Oryzias latipes: one gene and its partner. The protein of the gene in region 1 purifies or fractionates together with the protein of each later gene. This does not show direct contact. Links are inferred from orthologs where the notes say so. Each region holds a gene or a part of one and is shown in the gene's direction. Other genes may lie near its edges.

Region 1 (8,789 bases):
ACCTTATAAAACCAAAAAGTCCTTTGGTCACAGGTGCTCTATTTTTAATTTTTTGCTAACAAGGTAGTTTAGTTGGTGGGAAAACATTTTCCAATCATAAATCTTGTGCTTTCCTGGTCAGTCACTTTTTTTTATCTTTTTTACTTCCAAGTACACAGAACAACCCATCCAAAGATCCACCACCCTACCTGTTGACTTGGATGTTTCCTCCTTTGGATTGAGCCGATGCAGCTGATCCCGGTAATCAGCAGCAGCAGGGAGAGCAGGAAAACAGGCAGAATGGTAGATCTTAAGGGAGCAGGTTTCTGCCTTGTCTAAATGCGATTTATGTATAAAAGCCACTCCCCCTTCGTGGACAATCAATGCTGCAGAGCGTCCTCTCTATATCAGAGGAGATAGTGATAATATATGTATCACACTCAAATTTGAAAACTTTTACACTTTTTTTGTACAATTTATTTTCTTTTAATTTTTACTTTATTTATATAGAAGACTGGTGTATATGTAGCAGGATTTTTCATACTTCAAGTGAGAACTTATAATGAATAGTGTTATGCAAAAAGGTTATCAAAAGTTGCATTTTATTAATAACTACATGGACTGATCCGCCTGTTTGCTGTAAATAAAAGCAACTTCCCTGATCAACAGTTCATCTGAGAGCATTGCTCATGCAGCGTTGTCTTTCAGTGAAGCTGAATGAGAAAAAAGTCCTTATTACATGTTTGCCTTTCTGTAACTGTTTGATGTATTCTAACATCTGCCATAAGTGAAGTCATCACACTGTTTCTGTGCAGTAAATGTCTTATTTAGAAGAAGAAGAAAAAAACAGGATTCTGCTCTTATTTTGAAATTTGCTACCACTTGGTTTCTGGGTTTCATTGAGCGTAAATAGCATACTTGACTTGCAGAGAGAAATACAGTCTACATAGGTGAGGCTCTAAAATTATTTTTTATCTGAGAGGAACTTTTAAAGACTTTCATTCATAAATCTTGGTAAAGAGAACCCTTTAAAAAAAGACAGCAGCCTTGCATGCTAACTCAAATAAATGCTTAAATTGATTCTGCCTTATTTCTACCAGCTTCACAAGCAAACCTTTTGTTTTTATGCCAAAACTACATGATTTCCATTGTGTAACCATACGATGGTCTATGTGTACTGTTGAAGGCTCTGAAGATTGTAAAGTACTCTTGTTGTTTCAGTTGTTGATAGGCTGAATAAAACAAATTCACAACAGTAGTTTTTTTTTTTATCTATATCACGACAGAACAAATCAAACACCCATTGCAGCTCCTAGAATCCCAATCAAACCCCAAAGATAAACCATTTTTCCAGAAGAATTCATTAATTGATGAGCGTGGCCCCCTACAGCTTGAGCTCCTTGATCATTGGCTCGCCTCGCAGGCCCAAGAGGAGGTTGTTGGCTGCAAGGGCAGACATGGCGTTCCGGGTTGTGTAGGATGCACTAGCAATATGTGGAAGAATCACTGTAGGTACAAGAAAATACAAATTAATATCAGAGAAACAAAGCATGTTGAATCATTCAAACCAAGATAGACCCACCGCAGTTTTTGAGGGTAAACAGTGGATGGTTAGTGGGCAGAGGCTCTGGGACGGTGACATCCAGACCAGCTCCTGCTATCTGACCAGCTGCCAAAGCCTCATACAGATCCTCCTGGTTCACGACTCCACCTCTGAGACAGCAAAAAAGGCGAGGAGAAGCCATCAGAAACCATGAGATCTTTTCAAATTAAAATAATTAGGCCACATCCTTTCCTACCATATTTACTTGCTAATAGGATAATAATATATACATGTGAATATTAGAGATGATGTCGTGTTTGAGGGTGGCGCACCTGCTTGTGTTGATAAAAATGGAGGTGTTTTTCATCTTGGAGAAAAGTTCTTTGTTGCAGATCTCCTTAGTCTCTGGTGTTAAAGCACAGCACACGGCCAGGAAATCCGACTGCTTTGCCAGTTCATCAAACGAGACTAAAACAAAAGAGATGCTACATGAAGATCTGACTTTGGTCCGAATGACGAGTTACAGTCTCTGCAGCCTTTATTCTCTTTTTCTCCTCTGTGCGAAGCTGTCATTTTCATAAATGAAAGCATAACAATGGGGAATCATAAATCTTACCGTATTCTGCGTTGATGGCTCTGGCCAGTTCGGGCCTGGGAGCCACGTCTGTGTAGATGAACTTTTTTACTTTAAAGGGTGCCAGGCGCTCTGCGATAGCTACACCTAGAGACGTATGCACGCACAGAAAACGTAAAATATCCAGAAATAACCACTACTCCATTGTCTAATGTGTAAGTCTCACACTTACCAATCCTTCCCAAACCCAGGATACCTACAGTGCTGTTGGCCAGTTCATGTCCACACAGCCAGAGAGTTCTCCATGTGCCCCAGCCACCACTGTCACAGGCAAAAGGATGTAATAAATGCAATCAAATTTTTGTAAATTCTGTGAGTTAGGAACTTGTTTTTAGAATAAAACCATTACGTCTTGGCTTCATGTGTGGCCTCTATGAGTCTCCTAGAGGTCGTCAGCAGCAGAGCCACAGTCAGCTCAGCAACTGCATCAGTTAGAACTTCAGGGGTGTAACCTACACGGATTCCTCTGCAGGAAAATGCAGAAATGTTATGTGGAAAAATGCAAATCCATGCTGTCAGATGTTTTCATTTCATGTTTTCTGCTGCGAAGAGAAAGGTCACCTTTTCTTCAGCTCATCTAAAGACAGATGATCAAAACCCACTGACATGGTACTGAGAACCTTTAGATTTGGACCTGCAGGGACAGATTTGCAAACTTTCATGATCTTGCACCAAAAAGTCTATTTTAATATATTAAAATATAAATAAAATAAAATAAAAACAGACCTGCAGAATCCAACAGTTCAGCATCAATCTTTTCTGTCAGCACGCAGAGCAGACCATCAACACCTTTGACCTTTTTCAGCAGCTCCGCCCTTGGTACAGGAACGTCGTCTGAGCCCCACAGCTCAAACTGCACCCTATAGGGCAAAACATGAAACCACAGATCTGAAGCAACCCCAATATGTCGTCATCAGCCGCAGAGGTCAGAAGTGCATAATGGGTTGAAATGAACAAACTCAAAAACACGGAGGCCTCATTGTTCTATGTACCATCAAAATTTCTATTTTAAATATTTGGAAATTTAAGATATAGATATATTAAAGAGGTTATGGAATTTGCAATCTTACAATTTCAAATGCAAACATTAAAAGTTTTCCTCTAAAAATGGGGATCTTTACAAAACAAATTTGTTGAAAGTGCTTCAATATCAGTGAGCAGCATGAAAGACATTTCAGAAAGACATATTTTTCTAACTTACTGTCCTGATTCTTTGAGGATCTTCAGTCCCTCAGGCGGGATCTGTCGGGTCACATACACCCGCTGGAGGGTGGACATTTCTCTCTGGACGTTACTTGGTACGCCTTCTTTGATGCTCAGGGGAGCAACAGCGATTTTCTGGAGCCGACGTAGTGCCATGCGACTGCCCCACATTGCCAAAGAAGAGCAAGCCTTTGGAAGATGAACGCAGTTCAGTCTGTTTCAGACTTAGTTTTGGCTGCAGCTCAGGGGGGTGGGGGGCTCCTGTGGGAGTTTGACCAATATGCTGAAAGGGAGGGTGCCTCTCAGACTAAGGTGCCCAGGGTTGAAAAATAGTTTTCTGACAAATGCAAGTCAGGGCTTTTTCTTGTTTAGGGTAAAATAGGAAAGAGGCCTTTTAGACTGAATTATATGCAAACAAGAATGCATTCAAAACTTGAAGTAACAGTTACTATTGTGTGTTCGTCATCGTTGTCTTGTAGAGCAACAGGAGTTGAACGGATGTAAATGTTTCACCAAACTGTTGACCTTTGCTTCTCTAAACAGTACAGCACCCAAACATGTTCTGTTCTATTTCTCCAGCTTCTCCAGTTCATCAAACCCTCATTCTTTACCCAAGTCAAATCAGGTCAAAGTGCAAATGATCATACAAAAAAGAAAGGGTTTTTGATAAAAATCAGTACATAAAAATTAAATAAAAAGGGACAAAATTGATATATCCTACAAAGCACATAAATACACAAATAAACAACACAAAAAAGATACAGTATACCATCAAAAAGATTGATAGACTGACTGAATAGAGCATGTGTGCATCAATATTGTCTTGGCAGCTCTGAATCTGAAAAAAGACAGGTTGTTTTTGCCTGTCATCCTCTATTTGACTGCAAAGATGAACAATCTCCTCCGGGTTGTTTAGATAATTTAGTACAGATGGTGGAAATAGCTGGAAAAACAATATGATCAAACACAATGTAATGGTACGTATTAATACCAATAGGGTTTTTTAAGATGATGCCGTTCTGCTAAAAAAAATATGCAGATTTAGTTTATTATTGTTATTATTAGTATTAGTTTATGTACTGTAATACTCATTTTAATCACCACGACATGATTGGATGACTGCTATCACGTGATTACTGTAACCCGGAACCACTTCAAATTTTCAACCACTCACAGCCATTCATTCGCCGAGGACCGTCGCGCATACTGTCAGCTATTAACGTAAGTCGTTTGGGTTTAGTTTTTAACTCTATAAATAATAAAACCTACATTGTCCTCGCTGAGTTGGAGATCTCTCTAAAAGATTGAACAACCCGGAAAGTTGCATATTATATTAACAAATGTGTGTCACCACTTTTTATGAGTTTACGGTGGCTGTCCTCGCTACCGGTAACTGGGCAGAAGTGAAATCCGTGGCTAGCTTGTGGCTAACGTTGCTTTTTCCTCTCGAGATTAGAAACGAGCATGCGCGATCATTATAAACAATTTGTAGTCGTTGTAACATTTGATCAGAACAAGTCCTATGTAACGAGTTCTAACCGTGAACTGTTACTGTTGACAACTTGCCTCCCATCAAATGTCAGCTAGCCGCCAAGCTATACTTTTAATAAATAGGGCGTTGGTCCACATTGCATCTATTTACACTAAAGTGTCTCACATCTTCGATATCAACTTTCTATTTGTTACGTGCACCTTCTTCTTAAGGTAGAGTCGCTATCTTTAAACCGGCTGAATCAGCCCTTTTCCTCCCAGCATGGCTGCAGACTTGATGGAGATTGACGACTCACTTTACAGGCAAGTGCAGTTTTTGGTGTTCTTTTTTTTCTTCTTCTGATGACCTGAAGCTCCACGTGCAGCTGTCTGTCTCCTTGGTGAGTGTAGCTAACATCTTTATTTATGTGCTTCCTAATAGCCGCCAGAGATATGTGCTTGGAGACGGTGCCATGCAGCAGATGGCCCAGTCCTCTGTCTTTCTTAGTGGAATGGGAGCACTGGGAGTGGAGATAGGTGAGCAAGAGAAGAGGACACACGTTTGCACCACAACTCTTTATCTTTGATAGATTCAAAAAAAAAAAAAAAAAAAAAAATCATACTCAATCATTTCCTTCTTACAGCCAAGAATATAACTCTGGCAGGTGTGAAGGTAAGAGGGCTTTTAAACTTTTCTTGTAATAAAATAGCAAACATGTCTTTTTTTTTTTAGTTAAGGGGTTTTATTATATATATATTTTTTATTTTTAAACAGACGGTTACTCTCCATGACACGAAACTGTGTGAGACTTGGGATCTGGGGTGTAACTTCTTCATCCGTAGAGATGACGTATTGAACCAGAGGAAGAGGTAATAATGCATTCTGCAAGTCCAAGCATTGGTTTCTAAAGATGATTAACTGCTATATGTGATTATGAATTGGTTTGTAAAGAACCACTTCAATTAAAAATCAGGTTTTTGGTGTTTTTAATTTGTTTTTGTGGCAATTTTTCTCATGATGGAGGGCATGTATAAAAAAATATTAGGCTTTATACTGCATTTCTGAATATTTTTGTTATTTATTAAAATGAACTACTACTGCCCTGTAGAAACTGTGTCCCAGAAAAAAAATAGCATGATCATAATTAAAAGACATCTGGGAACACGTTTTGAATAGATCAAAAGATGATCGGAGTAGGACTTTAGGTGCAGCAAAAACTCAGGTCTATGCATGGCTTTTGTCAACTCATTTGTTACTAAATAACATGCGTAGAAGCCTAGATGAGAGAACTTGAAAATTAGTTAATAGCCACTTGATCTTATCGTTACTTATGAAAAAGTTTTTTCTTTTTTTTTCTGTCCTTTTGTTGTGGATTTTGTCTTGTGTACCAATACTCAGCCTCTTGTTTTGCCTGTTACAGGGTGGAAGCAGTGTGCCCTCGTGTTGGGGAGTTGAACCCTTATGTTCATGTTGACATGTCCTCCTGTCCCCTGGATGACAACATTGACCTGAGTTTTCTCAAAAAGTATCAGGTAAGTCGACATATTTTATGTTATGTTATGTTCACACCGAGCGTGTGTGGCGCCTAAACCTGGGTTCTATAACACACATTTGGGTGTTCACACTGGACAAGCTGGCAGAGGCTTCTTCTGCTTTTTCTTTTGCTACTGTTTACTAGCACATGTCCACCACCTACATTTGGAAGACGTTATGCTGTTCTTGGACTAGTTTGTTGAATTTTTCCAGAAAAAACGTCAGATCAGCAAGAAATCTGCAAATGCTCTTGTGCTATTGGCAGCTTTATATTAAATTGTACTGTCAACTTTTATGAAAGAAAATTTTTGTCATAATTTAAGACAAGATTATTCCTGTATTCCTGAAGGTATTACTATATACTGACTGCTGTGCTTTCCCCTGCAGTGTGTGATTTTGACAGAGTCCAGCTTGAGCCTGCAGAAGAGAATAAATAAGTTCTGCCACTCCCAGCAGCCTCCCATAAGAGTGAGTTTACAGTCATTCCCCTGGTTTTACCAAGATCAATATTACTTATAACAAAAACGGTTTATTTAAAATAAAAAATATGTCTGTGTTAGTTTATCTCTAGTGACGCTTATGGAATCTGTGTCCGGGTCTTTTGTGATTTCGGAGAAGCGTTTGAGGTCTCGGATCCCACAGGGGAGGAGCTCAAGGAGATTTTCATCCAAAGTATCACTCAGGTAGTCATAATACTTTCACATTCTGTTCTTCAAATTAAGACTCCTCCCTGTTCCTCTGCTTATGCCTCTTGGAATTTACATAAAGTTATCTAATCAGTTATCCTGATATTTTTGTTTTGTTGCTGAACTTGTCCTTTTCTTCTTTTTTTTCCATATTTTTTTCAGGACAATTCTGGGGTGGTTACTTGCATAGACAACCAACCCCATGGTCTGCAGACGGGCCAGAGCGTTATCTTTAGAGAAATCAATGGCATGGTGGAGCTCAATGGCACCACACGGCAGGTTTCAGGTGGGTCTTTAATCCAGCACATCAATGCCACCACATGCAAATACAAAAGTAACCTAATCTAAGTAACATTTGTCCTGTTTCTGTTTCTCTGGGTGTGTGAATGTGTTTGCTGCATTAGTCATTTCCTCCCATAGCTTTGAAATAGGAGACACGTCGCACTTCCAGCCATATGAACACGGAGGCTTCTTTGTTATGGTTAAAACTCCTCAGATTTACAAATTTGTGAGTACAAAATAAATGTAAAAAATAATGCAGACATATTCAAATAACTACATTTGAGCACACGACTTTACATGTTTTACTTTTTTTTTTTTAGGAAACATTAGAACAGCAGCTGTGTGATCCTCAGGTCCTAATTCCAGATCTCAGTAAACCAGAGGTGAGTTTTTCAAAAACTCAGTTGTGGACAGGTTTGTTGTTTGGCCTTAATTCTGGTTTGCAGCCTTACGAGGTTGCCTCGCTACTCCACACAAATCACCATGGTAACACAAGCAGTGTACCAACTTTCACCTTGGAGTGGTTGGGTTTGATCAGGCCCCAAAATTCCTTGAGTTTGTCATGTGTGAGACATATTTTTGAGTTGTCTGGAAACCTCACTGTGGTTTGAAATCCTCCCATCAGGCTCCGTTACACATTCATGCAGCCATGCTGGCACTAGATGCCTTCCAGGAAAAGCACGGCAGACTTCCCAACATTGGGTAATCAGACTTCTAGATTTTTTTATGCTTTCATTTGGGAAAAAAAAACTGTAATGAGCTGTTTGAAGGTTTCCTCAGTTTTGCTTTGATGTCATCAGATGTTTAGAGGACGCCGAGGCTCTACTAAAGCTAACCGAGGAAGTCAGTGTCACTCATAAGAACAAAGTAAGTGTTTTCCAATTATAGCTTTAAAGTCAAATGTGTCCCGGAGAGTTCCTTATCCATATTTATCTTGCACCTTTTTTAGAACACTATGAAGTTGAACAAAAATTTAAAATTTAGCCAAATAGATTTTTGCCTTTCTTATAACCATTATTTCAGATTTTATTCTGCCACTTATCTATACAAGGTAGCTCTACTGTTCCTCATCTTTAATCTTGCTGCTTTTTTATGTATTTTTTGCTGAAGTTTTAGTCTCCTCTTTCTGTCCCCACAGCTTCCTGTGAACGCTGAGTTGGTGCGCTGCATGTCTAAAACAGCCAGAGGGACTCTTCCACCTCTAGCTGCAGCAGCTGGAGGAATAGCCAGTCAGGAAGTTTTAAAGGCCATCACTGGAAAGTTTGGGCCTCTGCAGCAATGGGTAGGTTACTAAAATTGTTCTTCTTTGTGATTTCTTTTATTTATTTATTTTTTTATATTTAAAGACCTGCTCCGATGAGACCAGAGGTGCCCAAATTCAGGCATCTCTGGTATAAACAGACAGATGATGGGAAGTTGGGGTGGGTTTACTCCGTGCCAACAGTCCCGCTCACAACT
Region 2 (6,916 bases), on another chromosome or scaffold:
ACTCCTTGATCAGTGGCGACGCTCAGCAGTGAGTTCAGCTTCCCGTTTTCTGTCTTTGATCAAGGAAAGACGATGTAAGGATGCAGGATCACTGCATGTAACAACCTCTGCAGCCCCCCCCCCCAGGCTCAATGATCAGGTTTTTGTTTTTTTTAACATGAAATCTAATTCTGTGTAAATTCTACCTAAATCAGGGGGTCAAACTGTGAAGCAGTAAAGACAATTAGACGGGCCAAACACTATATTTGATATGTAATGTTTAACCTTATCAAATAGTGTCTATTTATGTTATACCAGTGGTTCTCAAATTTTGTCTCTTGCCCCTCCCCCCTTTGAGGAAAAAAATGTTCATTCTCTCCCACCGCAAAGAAACTGTGACAAAATATGCCAAATATGTTCAACTTTAACACCATGTCATAATCTTACCTCCTGGCCTCGCTGTGGAACCACAGCCGAGTGTTTTGCTCCCATCTCTTCACAAAGTGGGGAGAACAGCCGCGCTTTCAGGGGTCTTCAGGCGTCAACGTCCGGGCGGCACCACCGTTCTTTTAGGACGTTAAAACAGCCGTTAACCAAAGTAATTATGTCTTCAAATGGCATGGTCAGTATAAGGTTAATGTAAGTGACATGAGTCCCGCGGATATTCGGTCCCGAAGGCTGGTTTGTTTATGTTCTGCCGCGAAATAAATTCTGACGTCCAAACATTAGTTGTGGCCCGCCAAGTGTATTTTCTCCATCACAAATGAGCTCTTTTTCCAACGCCATCTTTTCCTCCGCTTCTGATTCACAACAACTTGAAGAAATACTAAGAAATGCATTTTTTAGCTTAATTTTTTTTTAAATATGTCCTCCGTCATCAGAAAAATGCCACAAGAACCTGTTAAAAACTCATCCCTCATCAGAGGGAAACAATCCTTCAATTCTAGCTTTGGGTCTGTTCTCTCACACACACACATAACAGACAGCGAGGTGTTGCTGCTGCCCTCTCATGTTGTGCTGTCTGTCTGGCACAGTATAGCTCTGCTCTGGCCCAGCGAGTGGGAGGTCATCAGCAGACTGTTCATCGTTGATCAGGCCATATCCATCCACTGCCTCAGAGAGAGCACGGAGGGCTCCACCCCTCAGTACACCACCCAGCCTGGTAAGATCTGCAGCTCAGCGCTCAGTCCGCTTACATCTTAACATTTGCAGCTCATATAAAACGTGTGTTCATGTGTCGCAGCAGAAAGGCTCCTGGTCCGTCATCTCAGAGGATATTCTGAAAAATACTTTGGCTTTATTTAAACACGAATTCCTTATCAGATTTAGTCTTGGCAGAGAAATGATGCACAAAGCAGCAGCACGAGTGGCTTCAAATTAGACTTCTGGTAATCTGGGATCAATCAAAAGAATTTGATAGATTACTGCCTGACTTTATTTCTGATTAAGTAAATAGAAATTCTTTGTTGTTTTTTTTTCTTTCAAGGTGATGCTTAACTAAGTTGAGTCCTGGCATAAATATATTTTGCTAATGAGTGTAAAATGGCATAGAGGCTACTTCAGGGTGCTGGCAGACCCTGGTGTTTGTGTTTGACCCGAGTCTGGTGTGTGTTCAGAGCTGTGCTGGGACTGCAGGGAGAGCTTCCTGTTCCAGCAGCAGAAGGACCTCAGAGAGTACAACCAAGCAACCATCTACATCCGCAAAGTCCTGGAAGACGCCAGGGTGAGCCAGCGCACAGAGCACCCGCAACTTCTGCGCAGGAAGGTCACGGTTTAACCCGCTCTACCATTTCTGCACAGATGGTGAAGGATGTGACTCCAGAGATGAACGCCAGCAGCTCCGAGGCTGAGGAGGAGCGAGAGGAGCATCTGAAGTTGGAAGGAGGCGAAGACCCAGATTTTAGTCAGGTGTGTTGCGACCAGTCTCATCACCTGACAGCTGCGTGTGGCTCTTTCTCAGTCTGCAGAAATAATCCTAGCATTGATGTGTGCTGAGCTGTCGACAGCAGTTTTGTTAGATCAAAAGGGGTGTGGCATCCGCCTGCGTGGTCCCACGCGGGTTCAGAGTCACCTGACTGCTCACCCCCTGTCTGTCTGCTCTGTTGCTTTCAGTCGGCCCTGCTGCAGTCTCAGGATGGGGCGAAGCGGCTGAGACTGGCCGATGGCACTGTCGCTCCTGCAGCTCTTCCTGTGACCACCTCAGCCAAAGTGGGCGGGATCAGGAGGAGTACTCGACATCGGAAACTGCGGGGGGAGAAAGCCCTCATTGTCTCAGCCAATCAGACGCTAAAGGAGCTGAAGATACAGGTAAGGGGGAGGAGCTCTGCAGGTAATAAAGATGTGAGTGAGCGGCTCTGACTCCCTGTGTTGCTGCAGATCATGCACGCCTTTTCTGTGGCGCCATTTGACCAAAACCTCTCCATTGATGGAAAGAGCCTGACGGATGACTCGGCCACGCTGGGCAGCCTGGGCGTCGTCCCAGAGAGCATCATATGCTTAAAGGTTTGATACTGGGGGTGGGGGGAGTCATTCTTGTGTCTGATAGTTCTGGTAACGCTCGTGACTGTGTCCCCCCGCAGGCCGACGAACCCATCGCAGATTACGCCGCCATGGATGACGCCTATCAAGGTAAGTGTGTTGATCTGCAGAAGCTCTCAAATCCTGAAGGTTCCACTGACGTTGTCTGCTTCATCCACAGTGAGGCTACCGGAGGAGGGGTTCAAAGGTGAGGTTCAACGATCGCACATGCAAACAGGAGCACGTTCACGCCCTCTGCTCCACTAACAGCCTTTTCTGTCTGCAGGAACGGGGCTTCTGGGACACTGAGGAACGCTGCAGCCATGACCGATGATGTTTTACACAAAAGCTTGAATTTGTCAAGTGTCTATAAATAAATAAGTGCTTTAATTTTTAATGTTTTCACCAAGTTTTCTTGAAGCTGTCAGCGTGGTGCCCGTAATCGTCAAACTGAGGCATATGGTGGCTGGCGAGGGGGGGGTCAGCAGAGCAACGAGGTTTTATGGTCAGAAACACTTCTGATTGTAGAAGTTTAACTTCTTAAATGTGTCAAAAGACTCCAGTAGGTCCAGATTCTTCCAAATGTTCTGCCGAACCATGCAGACAAACACTGACCGAAATACAAGGATTGTGGTTGAGAGGGAACATATTGCATTTTTGTTTTCAAGTTGAGGGTTTAAGAGTTTCTATGGAAGCAGATAAATGACAGAAAATATTGGTTATCTGATTTGTGAATGAAAAATAAATTATTTTCTGATCTCAGTTTGTAAAGTCTTGAAAAGTATTCTGATTCCTGCATTATTTTGCATTTTACAGCTTTACGTATAAATTAAACTCAGCAAAATGATGTGACACTAACTTTAAACTCTGATGGAGTTTAAACTATGAAGCTAAAATCCTGTAAACCTAAAAGAAAATGATAAATAATTCTAAGATAAATTGCTCATAATTACAATTACATTTGAGATTATATGAAATAAATCTTTGCTCAAAACACTTTTTCCTCATTGAAACATTGAATTTCTGAAGACAAACGTTTCACTACTGTGACTAATATTAAAAACAGAAAACATGAACCGGAGTGTGGCTGGTCTCCAGTCCCAAAGATCTTAACTCTATCAGATTCTCCAGATTTTGTGTTCTGTTCAGTCATTCACACATGTGGTTCTGCTTGTTTACATTACCTAACCGAGAAGCTGTGTGTGTGCATGTCAGTTTCATTGAGCAGGTCGTCGACCCTCAGGAGGATTACTTGCTTTCTCTTTTCAGGCCCACAGCTGGACAGAACCTAGATTCTGCCTTTACAGTTTTCTTTAATCTAATTGGGATATTTCCTGATGCTTCTCATGGCCTGCAGGTGCTGACTCCTCATAATCTGTCCTCAAACTGGAGCTGGGAGCTGCATTGAAGAGCATCTACATTGACATACTCAAGCACACTCATGCACAAGCAAACGGGGTTACATGCAGAGACAAGTGCACACGGACAGATGCTCACCTGTGCACACGGACTAGTGTGGACACACGGTTGCACGCAGACAGGCTAATGTGCAGACACATATAGGTGCACACAGGCTAACACGTATGCATGTACATAAACACGTGCCCAGAGGGAAGTCGTGTCCAAAAATTGTACTCAATAGTAGCATTGCTTTAAAAGTAAAGGTGAAAACTACTTGTCTGAATATTTGTATTAACAAGAATAAAACTAAAAAAGCTACTTCAATACCTTGATTGATTTTTCTTTCTTTAATGTGTAAATTTAAGTAATTTTAAGTATTATTTTAACAGAAAATAAACCTTCTCATAGTGTTTGCAGCCCCTTTGGTAACAGAAGGGCTTCCACTGATGCCTACAATAAAATTTGAGATGCATAAAATTCCAATTCAATAAGCTAGTATTGTTCAAATCTGTTGGGCAAAACACAATAATTATCAATATACAATATTTACATTTTTGCTGTCTTTCATTAGAATATCTTGCAATCCCGGTATTTTTTCCTGCTACAATGACTTTTCAGCATAAAAATGTTGTTTTAAGCTCATCTCTGCTGCATTGGAGCATTAATGAGCTTCTGGTTGTACAGTCGAAGCTAAACTATAAGGTGAGATTTGCGGTTTGAAATCTTGATACTGACCAACGTTGACAAGGACCCTCTTACTTAACTGTCTGCCAAATTGTGGTGGACCAAGCAGTGGAAGTCAAGGACAGCAAACAATTTTATCAAAAATATTTAAATTTATTTTTCAAAAAGTGGAAATGGGAAAAAATGGGCCCTTAAAAGAGGTCCAAGTAACAAAATTAACTCAAGCTTTTAAATGTAACAGAGGACAACTGAACAGACAAACCAACTTAATTAAACTGACCTACCTAATTAAAAACACAAGGGAACATATATAGTGGCAGATCAAACCAACTAGACACACAAGGGGGAACTTAAAAAGACTAAGACAAACTACAACAAACAAACTAAACTTAAGTCCATCCTTTGGTAAATTAACATACACAAATGAATGACAAATAAAGATCATCAAAATAGAAACTAAGGTAAAGAAACACCAAAAAGAGTTCCTTGTCCACTATGGTTCAGTCCAATTAGCTGCCTGCTAAACATGAAGCCTCTGCTGACTGGCATGCATTGTTGTGTCAGGCCTGACTTGCTGGTTCCAGCACCAGCAGCAGCAGCAGCAGCAACAACAACAACAACAGCAACAACGGTTCCCTCAGCACTGGTAACTCAAACAAAACATCAAATTAATGAAGCAGATTATAATAAAGTAAACTGAAACATGTTAATAAATTTCATGTTCAAACATGTGTTTGGGTTATGTTTGAAAAAAGAAAACTAAAAGTATATGCAAACAAAAAAAGTGAACAGATATATGTAGGGTGTGGTGCAGGGTGGCAGCATAGGCAGCCATCACAAAGGTATTGTGCCTCCTTAGAATAAAGCAAACAACTTTTACTATGAAAATAAAGGTAACTGAATGAAAACAGCCATATAGCTGACTGCAGCAAAAGTAAGCCGTTTGGTATTGTAAAAGTACCTTAAATTGTATTATTTTTTTTTTTTTTACAAATAGCTACCCAGTTCATTTTAGTCATTATTCCCTCCTCTGCACAAGGACACTACTAAAGAGTATGAGTACATTTGTTGGTCCAACATTTTAGAAGAAATGCAATCTGACTGCCTGTCTAAAGAACTGTAAAATTATAGTTTTAATAATATAATATTTCACTTTCTAAAGGAAAAATAGACACAAAAAAATACCACAGAAGTCTGTTAAACCAAGACTTGCAAGTTTTGAAAACAGTCAAAATGACTGCCTCAGTAGTTCTAGAGTTAAACATGAAGGATCGATCCTCTGTGGTTTAGTTTTGATGATGTATCCATCCTTTTTCCCCCGACAAAGTTTTTCCCGTAAGTCTTTAAACGCATCACGACGATTTGGGATGAATGGCCGAGGCTCCGCCCACTGCGTGAGCATCTGCGGAGCACCTGAACCACAGTCCTTCACAAGCGAGCACCGTTCAGCTGGACCGCACCAGCGCCTCCCAGGTGAGACAGCAGACTGAAGACAGAAAACGTGTGTAAATGAATGCTTTTGTGTTGTTCTCTGGTTGTTACTGTTGTCTTCACATGCTCAGGTGTTTGTGTGTGACGTTTCAGCTGTGGTTGTGTTTAGGTGTTAGAAGTGTTTCCTTTTCTTTGATCTTCTCTTCTTTCTGTGGATTTTGTGGGTCCCTGCTGCTGAGCTGCTTCTCAAACCCAAAATGTGAACAGTGGACTCCATTTTTAACAAAATGTACCGACATCTAGAGGTGAAGGAGCATCACTAGCTTCATTTTCACTGATTAAGCGTTATTAATGCTTTCTTGATTATGATAAAAGTGAGGAAGATTTGGGGGCTTGAACTGAAAAAGGACCCAGAATAATCCCCCTTAAGGGAAGCAGTATGTAAAATGGGAACCATGAACGTGCCTTGGAAGATTATCTGTGTAATCCTGGACGTTTTTAAAACCCGTGATAGGGATCCGCACAAATGGGCTTTACTTGTTTATGTAAGCAGAGCAGAAGACAGCAGGACTGGTTCTGAAGCCTGAGTTCAGAACCTAATCACCCAATCATATTTTTACTTCAGACCTCTTTTTTTGCACTCTTGGCGCACCAGACTTTCATAGAAGCCTTTGAATGCAGCTTGGTTGTATTTGACCTCATGAAACATTGACGTGGACCTAACTGAAGCTGGGGACCTAACTGAAACATTCAAAATTGTGGTTGTAGATGTGGACAGAAATCCAGCACAGATTTAAACATCGTCTCCATTTTTGTGATGAAATCTAAATAGCGGATCTTCTCCCTGTCCCTTGTTAATCCTGCAGGATCTACAACAACGTCAGAGTTGGGATGGGGCGCAAGG

Evidence for each region.
Region 2: the proteins of uba6 (region 1) and usp48 fractionate together in Homo sapiens (co-fractionation; 3 studies listed by BioGRID, with this or other methods). This does not show direct contact. The link is inferred for Oryzias latipes from reciprocal best matches to the Homo sapiens genes UBA6 and USP48.

What each region holds. Positions count from the first base shown.
Region 1 is NC_019859.2:12,639,333-12,648,121, forward strand, and holds the start of uba6 (ubiquitin-like modifier-activating enzyme 6), read left to right. Parts: upstream 1-4,496; 5' UTR 4,497-4,580; intron 4,581-5,063; 5' UTR 5,064-5,112; coding exon 5,113-5,153; intron 5,154-5,271; coding exon 5,272-5,366; intron 5,367-5,473; coding exon 5,474-5,502; intron 5,503-5,604; coding exon 5,605-5,699; intron 5,700-6,250; coding exon 6,251-6,362; intron 6,363-6,750; coding exon 6,751-6,831; intron 6,832-6,923; coding exon 6,924-7,046; intron 7,047-7,211; coding exon 7,212-7,335; intron 7,336-7,453; coding exon 7,454-7,557; intron 7,558-7,651; coding exon 7,652-7,714; intron 7,715-7,956; coding exon 7,957-8,033; intron 8,034-8,131; coding exon 8,132-8,198; intron 8,199-8,469; coding exon 8,470-8,613; intron 8,614-8,789. Other genes in the region: glyoxylate reductase/hydroxypyruvate reductase, read right to left, coding at 1,364-1,485, 1,562-1,692, 1,855-1,990, 2,139-2,243, 2,329-2,417, 2,506-2,622, 2,718-2,790, 2,883-3,016 and 1 more. UniProt on the Homo sapiens protein: Activates ubiquitin by first adenylating its C-terminal glycine residue with ATP, and thereafter linking this residue to the side chain of a cysteine residue in E1, yielding a ubiquitin-E1 thioester and free AMP.
Region 2 is NC_019863.2:19,921,536-19,928,451, reverse strand, and holds the end of usp48 (ubiquitin carboxyl-terminal hydrolase 48), read left to right. Parts: coding exon 1-28; intron 29-1,013; coding exon 1,014-1,141; intron 1,142-1,595; coding exon 1,596-1,702; intron 1,703-1,779; coding exon 1,780-1,887; intron 1,888-2,091; coding exon 2,092-2,286; intron 2,287-2,355; coding exon 2,356-2,481; intron 2,482-2,558; coding exon 2,559-2,607; intron 2,608-2,677; coding exon 2,678-2,704; intron 2,705-2,782; coding exon 2,783-2,805; 3' UTR 2,806-3,258; downstream 3,259-6,916. Other genes in the region: calcium/calmodulin-dependent protein kinase type 1D, read left to right, coding at 6,904-6,916.